Sus scrofa: one gene and its partner. The protein of the gene in region 2 binds, or shares a complex with, the protein of the main gene of each other region. Links are inferred from orthologs where the notes say so. Each region holds a gene or a part of one and is shown on either strand. Other genes may lie near its edges.

The links.
Region 1: POLR2E (region 2) and ERCC2 share a complex: the UniProt entries of both Homo sapiens proteins name them as parts of the TBP-based Pol II pre-initiation complex. The link is inferred for Sus scrofa from reciprocal best matches to the Homo sapiens genes POLR2E and ERCC2.

What each region holds. Positions count from the first base shown.
Region 1 is NC_010448.4:51,742,045-51,748,502, forward strand, and holds part of ERCC2 (TFIIH basal transcription factor complex helicase XPD subunit), read right to left. Parts: intron 4,494-6,458; coding exon 4,377-4,493; intron 4,290-4,376; coding exon 4,173-4,289; intron 3,847-4,172; coding exon 3,723-3,846; intron 3,627-3,722; coding exon 3,530-3,626; intron 3,412-3,529; coding exon 3,278-3,411; intron 3,184-3,277; coding exon 3,015-3,183; intron 1,337-3,014; coding exon 1,218-1,336; intron 1-1,217. UniProt on the Homo sapiens protein: ATP-dependent 5'-3' DNA helicase. Component of the general transcription and DNA repair factor IIH (TFIIH) core complex, not absolutely essential for minimal transcription in vitro.
Region 2 is NC_010444.4:77,327,720-77,334,855, reverse strand, and holds the start of POLR2E (DNA-directed RNA polymerases I, II, and III subunit RPABC1), read right to left. Parts: upstream 4,102-7,136; 5' UTR 3,971-4,101; coding exon 3,914-3,970; intron 2,577-3,913; coding exon 2,402-2,576; intron 1-2,401. UniProt on the Homo sapiens protein: DNA-dependent RNA polymerase catalyzes the transcription of DNA into RNA using the four ribonucleoside triphosphates as substrates.

The DNA of each region.
Region 1 (6,458 bases), on a different chromosome or scaffold from region 2:
CAGGAATGAGGTCTTTCTGGATTCCTGCCACTTGGCCCCAGTGCCGGCCTGGCCCACTTGTTGAACAAATACATGAATGAATGAATCCACACACCTTCACTTAGTAAAAATTAAAACAACCCAAAATCAAGTCTTTTGCACCTAAGCCTATGCTGGAGATGCAGCAGGACTGAAACAGCCCTGGTCCTGCCCTCTCAGGGCTCACAGTCCAGTGATGGGGACACTGACCTGTCCCGTAGAGTGACCTCTCTGGGTGGGGAGGGCTGGGACAGGGCAGCCTAGAGGAGAGGGCCTGATCCAGCCTGGGGGCCAGAAGGGGCTTCCTGGGGGAGGAGGGGGCTTCTCTCCTGAGCCAGGAACTGACGGGTGAGGTGGCGGCAGTGGGGGCAGAGGAAGAAGACGGGGAGGCTGTTCCAGGGAAGAGACTGCCAGGGGGGAGGGAGGAGCGAGACAGCCCAAGGGAAGACAGGGTGAATGGAGGGATGGACGCAGCAGGCGGCTTCCAGGGGACTTGCCGCTGATCGACCTTGGGATAGGGGGACGGCCGTCACCCCCCGCCAAGGCCCTGCCCAGACCGGCTGGCCGCAGGGCGCTGGCAGGCCTGACCTAGTTTCCTGGACACAGGAGTAATCCCCGGGGATTAGGCTGAGCCCCTGGCCAGCTTAAAGCTGAGGAAGGCGAGGCAATGCTGAGCGACGAAGCCTCTGCGACGCTGCCCTGCTCTCTGCAAGCTGGCAACCTGAGCACCAGCCTCCCGGCCTCTTTACCTCCCAGGTCTCTCTCCAGCCCCGCATCTTCTCTCCTCCCGCCCTGGCCCAGCTCTGCCAGAGGAATCATTCCAAAGCACCAAGTGACCCTGCCTCTCCCCTGCATGGCACCTGCTGTGGCTCCTCAATGCCCTTGGGAGCAGACGGACCAGCTCCTTACCATGCCCCCCAGGGCCAGCTGACCCCACAGAACTTCTCTGGCCTCATGTCACGCCACCACCCGCCCCACCCTTCTTCACCCTGCAGCCAGAGAGGAGCTTGAAAAACACAAATCTGAGCACAAGGCTCGCTCACTCAAGAACTGTCTGTAGCTCCCTATTGCCCTCAAAATAAAGCGCAAACTCCGGAGCCCAGCCCTACAAGGTCCTGCTCGTCCAAGTCCCACGGGCAACCCCACGGAGATCCCGATTCCAGCTGCCGGGGCCGGCAGAGGCAGGAAGGGGCGCTTACCCTTGGCATAGGTGCTGACTAGGGTGGCAAAGTTGGCGAGGAGCGTGAGAGGGGAGAAGTCAGCAAGGTCCGCGATCTCCAAGGTGTGCAGCAGGGAGCGCAGGCGCTCGGCGCAGAATCTGGAGGGGGGGTGGGGGGGTGGAGGATGGGGTGAGGGGCGACAGTGACCAGCTCAGGCACATCCAGCAGCCCCCTCCCCTCCAGCAGAGCACGGGCCCAGGTGCCATCTCCCCAGCTGCCCGAAGTTCCATGAGGGCGGGGCCTGGGTCTGCTTCAGTCCCCTCTGTGTCCCCCACATCCCACAGGGCCACGGCCATACGAGGGCACATTCGGAGCAATAATCACACAGCTCAGAGTCACAGGGTCACGTCACAGGGGGCCACATGCTCATGAGCAGGTTCTTGGTCAGAAGGGGCAACCCACAAGCACGCCCAGAATCCCACAGTCACTGCACGAACCCCACACGGCCACATCACCATTTGCTCCCTCCCAGGTCCTCTCTCAGTGTCTCAGCCACGCTCGCCACCCTCAGCGACACAGCGTGAGAGTCCCACACACTCGGGAGACAATCTCACACACACTCCCGGAGCTTCGCACACACTGTGTCCAGCAACAGCCCGTACACAACACAGGGCCACTCAAGGCTCTCACCCTTCAGGGAGAGGCTGTGGAGCAGCAGCACGGCTTTGGTGTCAGGCAGACAGTCAGGTTTAAAACCCGCTTCCTGAACCTCCTTTCCTTTCCTCCACGGTCGACCAGGTGCCCCTCTATGTTCCCTGGGCCCCCAGGCCTCCCCCCATCCCAGCCCTGGCACGTCCCTCTCTCACTGGACTGTGAACCCCAGGAAGGCAGGGCCAGGGCTGTCTCAGTCCCCACCGTGTCCCAGCAGATCAGGCACTCAGGACCATGCAGGCGGCGAAGCTCCCCGCAGCCCTCACAAGTCTCCCACGGCAGGGTGAAAGGTGAGGCCCCATCGAGGGCTCCCCGCCCAACCTCAGGCAGAGCAGCCAGGAACTCCGGAGCCCCACAGGCCTGGCTTCGAGTCACAGCTACCCCCACAGTGCTGTGTGGCCCTGGGCACTGGCTTCCCCTCCCTGGGACACAGTGTCCCCATCCACAGCGCGAGGCGAGGACGCTATTGAGATCCCACGGATACGGAATGTAGCTTAGCTCATTGTCAGCACTCAAGATGCTAAGTTCCTGGCGTGGCTGCTTTCTCACCTAACCAACCACCTCAGGAACCTGGGAGTAAGGGGCTGACTCCCTGCCTGGGGCACAAAGGAGGAGACCAAGGTTCAGGGAAGACCACTGACTCAGGCAGAACAGCAAAGGAAAAGCCCAGGAAGCCCCACCCCCACTCCCGGGTCCATGCACCACCTCCCTGACCACTGAGGGGAGGCTCCTGCCCCCGGGGCTTGGGGGACAGTGGGAGGCGACAGGGGTCTGGGGGGCAGGATCCACAGCATTTTCTGCCAGCTCCCACCCTGCTGGGCCCATCAGAAGCCGCTCTCCAGGGCTACTCCCTCCCCTCCCCGTGTGGCCTGGGGTGGGATGAGTTTCCGCAAAGGTGCAGGGGCCTGGTCACCCCACCAGCTCCTCCATCCTGCACGGCCCCCGGGACCCCCGTGAACAGTCCACCAAACTCTCCTCTGCCTCTCATCTGCTGCCCGCCAAGCCCCTGCTGGCCCCAGAGCCCCCGACCTGCCCCCTCCGCCCCACGGGTGTGACACGCACTCCCCCAGGCTTCCATTAGTCCCCATACCGGCCCCGGGCCCACCCCCACCCTGCTGGACGAACCTGAGGGGCTTGCGCTGGATGCAGACGCGCTGGGCCAGGCCGCTGAGGAAGGCGGGCGGGCTCTCCTGCACCACGTGCTGCACCCGCAGCCGCCACTTGACGTACTCCAGCAGCCGCCGCAGGAAGCCCAGGAAGTGCTCGGCCGTGCGGATGGAGCCCGGCACCGCCTCTGCGGGGACACGGGCTCAGCCGGGTCGGTGGCGGGGAGGGGGGGTGCCAGGGGCCCAGCGGGGCGGGCGCGGGCACAGAGGCGGGGGGCTCACCCTGCAGCACCTCGTCGGGCAGCACGGGGTTGGCCAGGTGGGCGTCGGTCTCCCGGGCGGCGCTGGCCTCCCGCAGCCCCTCCACCAGGCGCCGGTACTCGTCCCGCAGACGCTGCTCGTCAGTCTCCTTGATCCTGCGGGGAGCCGGGGGATGGGAAGGGCTGGGGACACGCCGGGGACGGGGACCGGGGTCCTGGGGTGGGGGGCAGGGCAGGCAGAGAACCGGGCCTGGGAAAGGCCGGCGCCCCGCACCTGAGCACCGTCTTCTGCAGGGTCTCCAGGTTGCCCTGGCACCGATCCAGCATCCGGCGCGTGAGGTTGACACTCATGGAGTCGATGCAGACGTTGTCTGGAAGAGGAAGGAGGGGACGCCGGGCTCAGGCAGGCAGCTGGGGCGGCAGCCCAAGGGGCTGGCATGGCCTCCCAGCCCTGGCTCCCTCCTCACCAATGTTGTGGGCCTCGTCGAAGACGACGACAGCCTTGCGGGCCAGCTCCTTGGACACCAGGTCGGCGATCTTGGGGTCCAGCAGGTAGTGGTAGCTGTAAACCACCACGTTGGCGTGGAGGATCTGGGGGCCGGGAGTGCAGGGTTACCCCGGCCACCAGCGCCCACCTCGTGCTACTGCCCCCCGCCCACAGCACACGGCCCCAGTGCTGCCTGACAGGCCCGCAGAGACGAGGTGCAGAAAGGGGCTCAGGCAGACAGACAGACAGACACAGATGGGCAGGCAGAAGCGAACTGAGGAAAGACAGACACAGGCAAGGCACACACACTCAGAGAGACTGACTGACAAAGGGACAGACCGACAGGGGGACACAGGCAGAGGGACAGGTGGGTGGGAAGGCGTAACCCGCACGCACGCCCCCCCTGCGCAAGCCCTGCCAGCCTCCTCACCGAGTACCGGGCAAGGAAGTACGGGCACCAGCCCTGGCGCCGCCCCAGCGCCTTCAGGTCGTCCAGGTTGTAGATGCCAGCCGGCAGGGGCACCTGGCGCCCATGGACATCAAACTCCTAGGGTGACAGGGCACACAGGAGTCAGGGAGGTTGGCCGTGGTGAGTGGTCCCCGCCTCCCTCCCTCAGCGCTGCCCCGCAGGCACCTCATAGAAGCGGCAGTGAGGCAGGCTGGGGTCCTGCTGGTACTGCGCCCGCACGTAGGAGGCCGTGAGGCTGTGGCATTTTCCATCGACGTCCTTCCCAAAGCGCAGGGGTGTCACCTGAGGGGCCAAGAGGGCATCTTAGCACTGGGACAGGCCAAGGAGCCCAACCACTCCTGGAACCTGGGGCTCAACACCTAATGGCTAAGGCGGGATGGGGCCATCTGGCTGTCCTGTCCCGGGTGACACTGGGGCATCCGTGGAAACTGGAACCTCAACCTGCTTCCCTAGTAAACAGTTAAGACACCTGGAAACTTACTACAGGGAAGCAAGAGTTGGTACAATTGTTAGGCTCTTAAATTATTCTTTTTAAAACAGTAAGTCCAGAATTCCCATTGTGGGTGTTAAGAACCCGACTAGTATCCATGAGGATGTGGGTTCAATCCCTGGCCTCGCTCAGTGGGTTAAGAATCCAGTGTTGCAGTATAGATTGCAGATTCAGCTCGGATCTGGCATTGCTGTGGCTGTGGCACAGGGTAGCGGCTGCAGCTCCAATTCAACCCCTAGCCAGGAATGTATGCCACAGGTGTGGTCCTAAAAAGCAAACAAAAACAGTATGTCTTAGGGAGCTCCCTCGTGGTCTAGTGGTTAGGGTTTGGTGCTTTCACTGCAGCCTGGGTTCAATACCTGGTCTGGGAACTAAGATCCCTCATCAAGCTGCTCCACACAATGATCAAAAAAAAAAAAAAAAAAAAAAAAGTTAAGTCACATATGGTGTCAATTATATCTGAATTTTTTTTTCTTAATTACACCTTGAAGATTCTTTAGCAGGTAAATTACAGATAACTGCTTTATCTTTTTTCTTTTTAGGGCTGTACCCAAGGCACATGGAAGCTCCAAGGCTGGGGTCAAAGTGGAACTGTAGCTGCTGGTCTACACCACAGCCACAGCAACACAGGATCCGAGCTGTACCTTCGAACTACACCACAGCTGATGGCAATGCTGGATCCTTAACCCACTGAGCGGGGCCAGGGATCGAACCCACATCCTCATGGATACTAGTCGGGATTATTACTGTTGCACCACTATGGGAATTTCTGCTTTATCTTTTAAAATGCTAAAACAGCCAGAACCTTAGCAAGGTCCAAGAATCAGAGGAAGCTGCTCTCCCCTGCAAGGCTCTGCTGGTAGCACCGTCACAGCCCAGGGCTGCCTTTCCTCAGAACCAAATCTTTTTCCTCACCAAAGGGAAGGCTCTGAGGCTGGCAACACCTCCCTCTCCTTTTCCCATTTCATCAGGCGCCAAGGAACATTCCTCATTTTTTAACATGCCTTTACACTTTTTAAAAAACAGGTCATGCAAATACATCGTACGAGGTATACAAAGTTAAAAGTGTCATAGAGTTGCTAGCGGGTTATGGATCTGGTGTTGTCACTGCAGTGGCATGGGTTTGACCCCTGGCCTGAGAACTTCTGCATGCCCTGGGTATGGGGAGTGGGGGGGAAAGCATCACATATGTTCCCACAGAAAAGTATTTTAAAACCCTGAAAATTTTAGCTGCGTGTGAAGCAGAGCCCCAAAGGCAGATCTATTTTGAAGAGCTAAATCCAAGCGAAGACTACCAGGCATATGCTTTTAAGTCCTTCCAAAGCAGCAGCCATGGGAGGATCAAAACCCAGATCGAAATACCTGCTCAATCTTTAGCATTATCCAAGGTCACTGTACATCTCGGGAGACGACTAAGATCCTGCCCTGAAGCACAGCTCATGCGGTTCAATATGTATACACGCTGTACGCTATATGCATACATATGATACCAACACAGCAATTAACAGTACTATATTAACATATTAATATAACACTATTGATTATTAACATATATTAACATAGTATTGCTTATGCACTTTTTCCCCCCACGGCATGCAGAAGTTCTTGGGTCAGAGATCAAACCCAATCCACAGCAGGGACCTGAGCTACAGCAGTGACAATGCCAGGTCCTTAACTGCTAGGCCACCTGGGAACTCCTGCTTATACACGTCTTATCACAGGTCCAGAAGATACAATCCACTTCCTTAATCCTCTAC
Region 2 (7,136 bases):
AAAAAAAAGAATCTGGTGTTGCTGTGAGCTGTGGTGCAGGCTGCAGATGTAGCTTGGATCCCATGTTGCTGTGGTTGTGGCGTAGGCAGGCAGCTGCAGCTCTGATTTGACCCCTAGCCTGGGAACTTCCACACTGCAGGTGTGGCTCTAAAAAAGCAAATAAATAAATAGCATAAACAAACCCAAGGAGGAACACACTAAGACACATATTTATCAAACTGACCAAAATTAAAGACAAAGAGAAAATACTGATAGCAGCTAGGGCAAAGATACAAACAACACACGAGGGAACCCTGATAAGGTTATGGGCAGATTTTTCAGCAGAAACTCTATAGGCCCCAAGGGAATGGCACAATATACTTAAAGCAATGAAAGGAAAAAATCTCCAACCAAGATAACTCTACCCAGCAAGGCTCTCATTCAGATTTGAAGAAGCTTTATAGACAAGCAAAACCTAAAAGAATTCAGCACCACTAAACCAGTTTTACAAAAAATACTAAAGAAACTTCTTAGAGTTCCCGTCGTGGCACAGTGGTTAATGAATCCGACTAGGAACCATGAGGTTGCAGCTTGTGAGTTCGATCCCTGGCCTTGCTCAGTGGGTTAAGGATCCGGCATTGCCGTGAGCTGTGGTGTAGGTCGCAGACGAGGCTCGGATCCCACCTTGCTGTGGTTCTGGTGTAGGCCGGCGGCTACAGCTCCTATTAGACCCTTAGCCTGGGAACCTCCATATGCCATGAGAAGCAGCCCTAGGAAAGGGGGAAAAAAAAAAAGAAACTTCTCTAGGTGGAAAAGAAAAGGCCGCAACCAGAAACAAAAATATCACAAATGACAAGGCTCACCGGTAATGGCATACATACAGTAAGGGTAGGAAATTATCCACACACAAATATGCTTCCAAAATCAGAAACTGTGGGAAGAGGAGGGTACAAATGCAAGATATTGGAGATGCACTTGCAATTATGGGTCCAACAACTTAAAACAATCTTTTATACATAGACTCTTATATCAAAATTTCATGGTAACTGCAAACCAAAATTCTACAATAGATACTTATAAGAAAAAGGAGTCCAAACACAACACTAAAGATAGTCATCAGAGCTCCTGTCGTGGCTCAGTGGTTAACGAATATGACAAGGAACCATGAGGTTACGGGTTCGATCCCTGGCCTTGCTTAGTGGGTTAAGGATCCGGCATTGCTGTGAGCTGTGGTGTAGGTTGCAGACGCGGCTCGGATCCCCCGTTGCTGTGGCTCTGGTGGAGAAGGTGGCTATAGCTCTTATTAGACCCCTAGCCTGGGAACCTCCATATGCCGTGGGAACAGCCCAAAAAAATGGCAAAAAGACAAAAAAAAAAAAAAAAAAAAAAGAGTTATCAAGCCACAAGAGAAGGTAAGAAAAAAGACAAAAAACCCAAGCCCAAAACAGTTAATAAAATGGCAATAAGAACACATATATCGGAGTTCCCGTCGAGGCTCAGAGGTTAACGAACCTGACTAGTATCCTTGAGGACACAGGTTTGATCCCTAGCCTTGTTCAGTAGGTTAAGGATCTGGCATTGCCGTGAGCTGTGGTGTAGATCACAAGATTCAGCTCAGACCCTGCACTGCTGTGGCTGTGGCATAGCTCTCACTCAACCCCTAGCCTGGGACTCTCCATAAACCGCGGGCGGGGCCCTAAAAAAGCAAAAAGAAATAATGTCATTTGCAGTAACATGGATGGACCCAGAGATTATCATATTAAGTAACCTAAATGAAGTAACACAAATACTACATGGTATCACTTATATGTGGAAGATAAGACATAACACAAATGAGCTGTGAAACAGAAAGACACATAGAAAACAGATTTGTGGTTGCCAACGGGGAGGGGACTGAGGGATTTTGGGATTAGCAAGCACAAACTCTTTTTTTTTCTTTCATGGATCCTAGTCGGGTTCATTAACCACTGAGCCACAAAGAGAACTCTCAGATGCAAACTCTTATATGCATACGGTGGATATACAACAAGGTCCTACTGTACAGCACAGAAAACTATATTCAATATCCTATAATAAACCATAACGGAAAAGAATTTGAAAAAGAATAATTATGTGCATGTAACTGAATCGCTTTACGATACACCAGAAAAGAACATAACATTGTAAAACATAATTCAATAAAGTAAATCTTAAAAGTGCCCTCTGGGTCTGCTCAGCAGGCATTTTCTGCACTCTCCCTTGCCTGGAGGCACACCAGGGTGGGCCCCCAAGGTGCTTGTGACCCAGCATGGTCCCCTACCTTTGGGGTTGAGAGCCAGGCTGCCTCAGTGGAGGCACTACATACAGCAGAGAGGCAGAAGGATGAGGGGTACAGACTGCGTGTCAGGGCAGGTGGCTGCTGCTGCCCTGAGCAGGCCCTCACCTGGGAAGAAGACGAACATCTGGTCGGTGGGGTCGTCATTATGGGCCACCAGCACCGTGAGGTCTGTGCGACGCGGCCGCCCTTCACTGGGCTTGTCCCCAAACTGGGCCTTGAACTCCTCCAGCGTCTGGTCCAGCTCGTCCTGGGTCACCAGGTAGCCACGGTCGTGGCAAAGCTGCAGAGAAAAAGAATCAGGTGACCAAGGTGCAGAGAGAACAGCAAAGGCTCAGGGTGCTCAAGGCCACTGCAGGGAAGATGGGAGCAGGGCTGGGATGTGAGGAGGGCTGTTGATTCCAAGGCCAGGCCCTTGGGTCTGGGGCAGAAAAGGACAGCTGTCTGGGAGAGGTGCTGCTGGGCTGCCTGGGGCAGAAGGCTATTGGAAAACCAGGCCAAGGCCTGGGGGCCAGCAGATCTAGGTCCTGACTCAGAAACTGGGATTCTTTGAGTGGACAGACCGGATGACCACCCAGACAAAGAGAAAGCCACCCACTCTGCCGGAATCCCCTTTCTTCAGCCAAGTACCCCACAGCTGGACTCTCCCTCTTTTTTTTTTTTTCCTCCCTTTTTGCCATTTCTTGGGCCGCTCCCACGGCATATGGAGGTTCCCAGGCTAGGAGTCTAAACCGAGCTGTAGCCACCAGCCTACACCAGAGCCACAGCAACGCAGGATTCCAGCCAAGTCTGTGACCTACACCACAGCTCACTGCAACGCCGGATCCTTAACCCACTGAGCAAGGCCAGGGATCGAACCCGCAACCTCATGGTTCCTAGTTGGATTTGTTAACCACTGAGCCACAACAGGAACTCCCGGACTCTCCCTCTTGAGCGCTCACTCTTCTCACCCAGGGCCCGCGACACGGTCAGCCTGAAGCAACGCTGTTCCTACCCTGTCTTTGGGTAGCACTGCAAGGAGGTGGAGAATATGGGTGCCACTGCCCCAGCTTAGTCCAGGCAGGATCCCCGCCGTGGCGAGGGTGGGTGGTCTTAGTCAAGGCCCGAAGCCTCCGTGGGATCACAATCGCCCCCTCCCGTGGAGTAGCCTAAAGCACGTGGCACACAGAGAACGCTTAGCTAGGGAGCTGGCATGACTTGGAGCCTATCAGCCCGAGTAGCTCAAAGTTGGTGGCCAGGGCGCGCTGTCAGGGCAACCAGACAGCATTGAGACCAGCTAACCAGGGATCCTTCCATATCCACAATCCTGGAATACTGTATCAGGCCCTCAAAACAGTGCCATAACTTTCCGGAAAGAGGAACACGCGAGGCCAATTCCCTCCCTCCAGCTCCAGCGAAACCCTGACCCTCTCCCCGGCGTCTCTCGGACTCGCCACTCAGCAGTGGTCGGCGGGGCCCCTCTGTCCCCGGCCCAATACGGGCCCCACCTGGGCCAGAACCTTCCCCTGAGCCGCGCGGCCAGACATAGAAAAGCTCGTTCCCATCTTCGGGCCTCGCGCTGGCCGTCCGCGCGCCGGACAGCGTTCGCTTAGTACTAAGGGCAGCCCCCGCGCGTCTCACCTGCATGATGGTCTTACGGATCTTCCAGAGCCGGTATGTCTCCTCCTCGTCGTCCATGGCTGCCGCCCCCCTCGAACTTACAGCGCCTGCGCTCGGCAAGACCCGTGCCCACTGCGCCTGCGCCGCGCCGCTGTCAGGCCCCCTCCACCTCGCCCAACCCTTACAGGGCTGTAGTCAGCTAAAGCCTGAATGCAGCGACCTTTGGGAGGGGCAGAGCCAAGGGCAGCCCGAGCCTTACTAAAGCGGCGGTTGGCTGCGCGAAAAGAGGGCAAACACCACTCACCCGCTCCTCGGTAGATCTCGCGTGGTTTTGAATGCAAGGCCTCTCTGGAGGCGTAGTTTCTGCTCAACGCCCGCCTAGGGAGGACGTTTAGAATCCAGCGAGGCAGATTCTTAGCAACATGGATGGACGTAGAAACTATCATGCTAAGTGAAGTCAGCCATACAATGAGACACCAACATCAAATGCTTTCACTGACATGTGGAATCTGAAAAAAGGACAGACTGAACTTCTTTGCAGAACAGATGCTGACTCACAGACATTGAAAAACTTATGGTCTCCAGAGGAGACAGTTTAGGGGGTGGGGGGATGTAATTGGGCTGTGGGATGGAAATCCTGTGAAATCAGATTGTTATGATCATTATACAACTACAGATGTGATAAATTCATTTGAGTAATAAAAAAAAATTAAGGGGAAAAAAAAAATCCAGCGAGGCAGGAGTTCCAGCTGTGGGGCAGCGAACTAAGGATCCGTCGTTGTCCCTGCAGTGACTGGGGTCGCTCGCTGCGGAGGCGCGGGTTCGATCCCAGGCCCAGTGGGTTAAGGATCCAGCGTTGCCACAGCTGTAGCACAGATCACTCTTGCGGCTTGGATTCAGTCCCTGGCCTGGGAACTTTCATATGCTGAGGGGGTGCAGCAAAAAAAAAAAAAAAAATTCAGGTAGGCAGAAGCAAGGGGAGACTGAGGCCTTGACAGGGTCTTGGGTACGCTCGGTTCCCAGGATGTTCGTACTTACTAAGAGATGGTTCGTAGGTGTTTGTGTGATCAACTGCAGGGAGTTTTCTCAGTTGACTCAGGGCCATGTCCAACTTAATGCCCTAGATCCTCAGTTATCCACTTTGTACAGTGGAAATAATAAAGTGTCCCCGTCTTAGAGGATTAGCTGAGGACCTAAAGGGATTGTTAGCTTGGGAGGAGCTTGGCATAGCTCCCACTGCTTATGAAATGCACTCATCTCTGTTTTCCTAGTCCCCTGAGGCCCACCCCAGCCCCTGGATACCCCACAGCCCCCAAGATTGTGCATGTTTTTACAACCTCCACATCTGCCCACACACACACATACACCACCCCGGTTCATACAGGAGGTTTGCCCAGCCCAGTGCCCCTGTGTCAGTGGAGGCCATCAGTAACTTCTCACTCGGTAATACATTTATTCAATGATTCAATATTTATTTATTTATTTGTCTTTTGTCTTTTTTTTAGGGCTGCACCTGCAGCATATGGAGATTCCCAGGCTAGGGGTCTAATCAGAGCTGTAGCCACTGCCTACGCCAGAGCTACAGCAACACCAGAATCTGAGCCGTGTCTGCGACCCCCACCACAACTCCCGGCAATGCTGGATCCTCAACCCACTGAACAAGGCCAAGGATCAAACCCTCAACCTCATGGTTCCTAGTCGGATTTGTTTCTGCTGCACCACAATGGGAACTCCTAATGATTCAATATTTTATGAGCACCCACAGGGATGTGGAACAAAACAGGCAAGCATCTTTACATACCAGGGAGACACAGGACATAAAGTGAACATAGGAGTTCTCGTGTGGCCCAGTAGGTTAATGACCTGGTGTTGTCACTGAAGTAGCTTGGGTTATTGCTTTGGCATGGATTTGATCCCTAGCCCAGGAACTTCCATGTGCCATGGGCGGGCCAAAAAAAAAAAAAAAAAAAAAAAAAAAAAAAAAAAAAAAAAAAGTGAACACAAGTAAATGAAAAAAGGGGACAAGAGAGTGGGCTGAAGGAGAAGGTAGGTTTGAAGTCTCAAATGTGGTCAAGGAAGTTTCATGTAAAAGCCCAAAGCAGGAGAGGGAGGGAGCTGTGGGCATGTCTGGAGGAAGGTGTGTCAAGCAGAGGGTACAGTGTGTGCAAGGGCCCTGAGGCTGGACTTTGGCTGGTGTGTTGGCAGCAAGGATGCCTATGCCGGGGGACAGGGAGAAGAGGAAGTCAGAGGGTGACATGGGGCAGATCCTGGGAGGCCGTGTTTGTTGGGTTGAAAAGTTTGGGTTTGCAGCCATTTTCAGCATCTCAGCAGAGCAGATACAAGGAGACCAGGGAGGGGCAGGGGAGGGCAGGTCCAGGCAGCACTCACAGATCTGCAGATGGATGGGATGTGGAGATGAGAGACACAGAGGGGAACAGAGGAGGGAAAAAGGGACTGCGGTGGGGAGGCGTAGGTGTAAGCTTGGGGCTCCCATGGGCCCTAAGGAGAGAAACGGGTAGTTCAGTGGGACATGAGCCTGGAATTCAGTGTGAGCTTGGAGTGGAGACAAATGTGGGGGTTGTGGGCACATGGTGGATACTGGAGCTGGCAGCTGGATGACGTCACTTAGCAGGTCTGAGGCCGGGCCTGAGCTTTGCCTTCTGGGAGGAGGGGAGGAAACATAGAAGGAAGAGAGGTGCAGCAACCTGGGCTCCAGTCCTCGCTCTGGGACTTAGGTGCATTACTTAACTTCTCTGTGCCTTGATGCCCCCCCTTGCAGAACAGAGGCAAGAACAGCACCCACAGTTTAGGGTACCTGGCTGATGACTGCAGCGGTGACACTCCATAAATGCTCCGAAAATAGAATAGAGGTGAGAGGGAGCCAGGTGCCTGGGAGCCAGGTGAAGCAGCTGCCTGGAGGAGGAAGCAGGGAACCGCCATCAAAGCAGGCCTGAGCACTGGGCAAGGGTTGGGCCAAAGGGACATTGTTTATGACCATGAGGAGGACAGATCCAAGGAGGAGGCCTGGCTGGGGGTGTTTAGAGGAGGAAAGGAAGTGGAGGTGGGGATGGGGGGGCAGGCTGAAGGTGGAGAGGAGATTCAGGAGTGGGTTTTATTGATTTATTTTTGGATTTTGTGTGTGGGTGTCTTTGTTTATGGCTGCTCCCATGGCATATAGAGGTTCCCAGGCTAGGGGTCATATCAGAGTTCTAGCTACTGGCCTACGCCACAGCCACAGCAATGC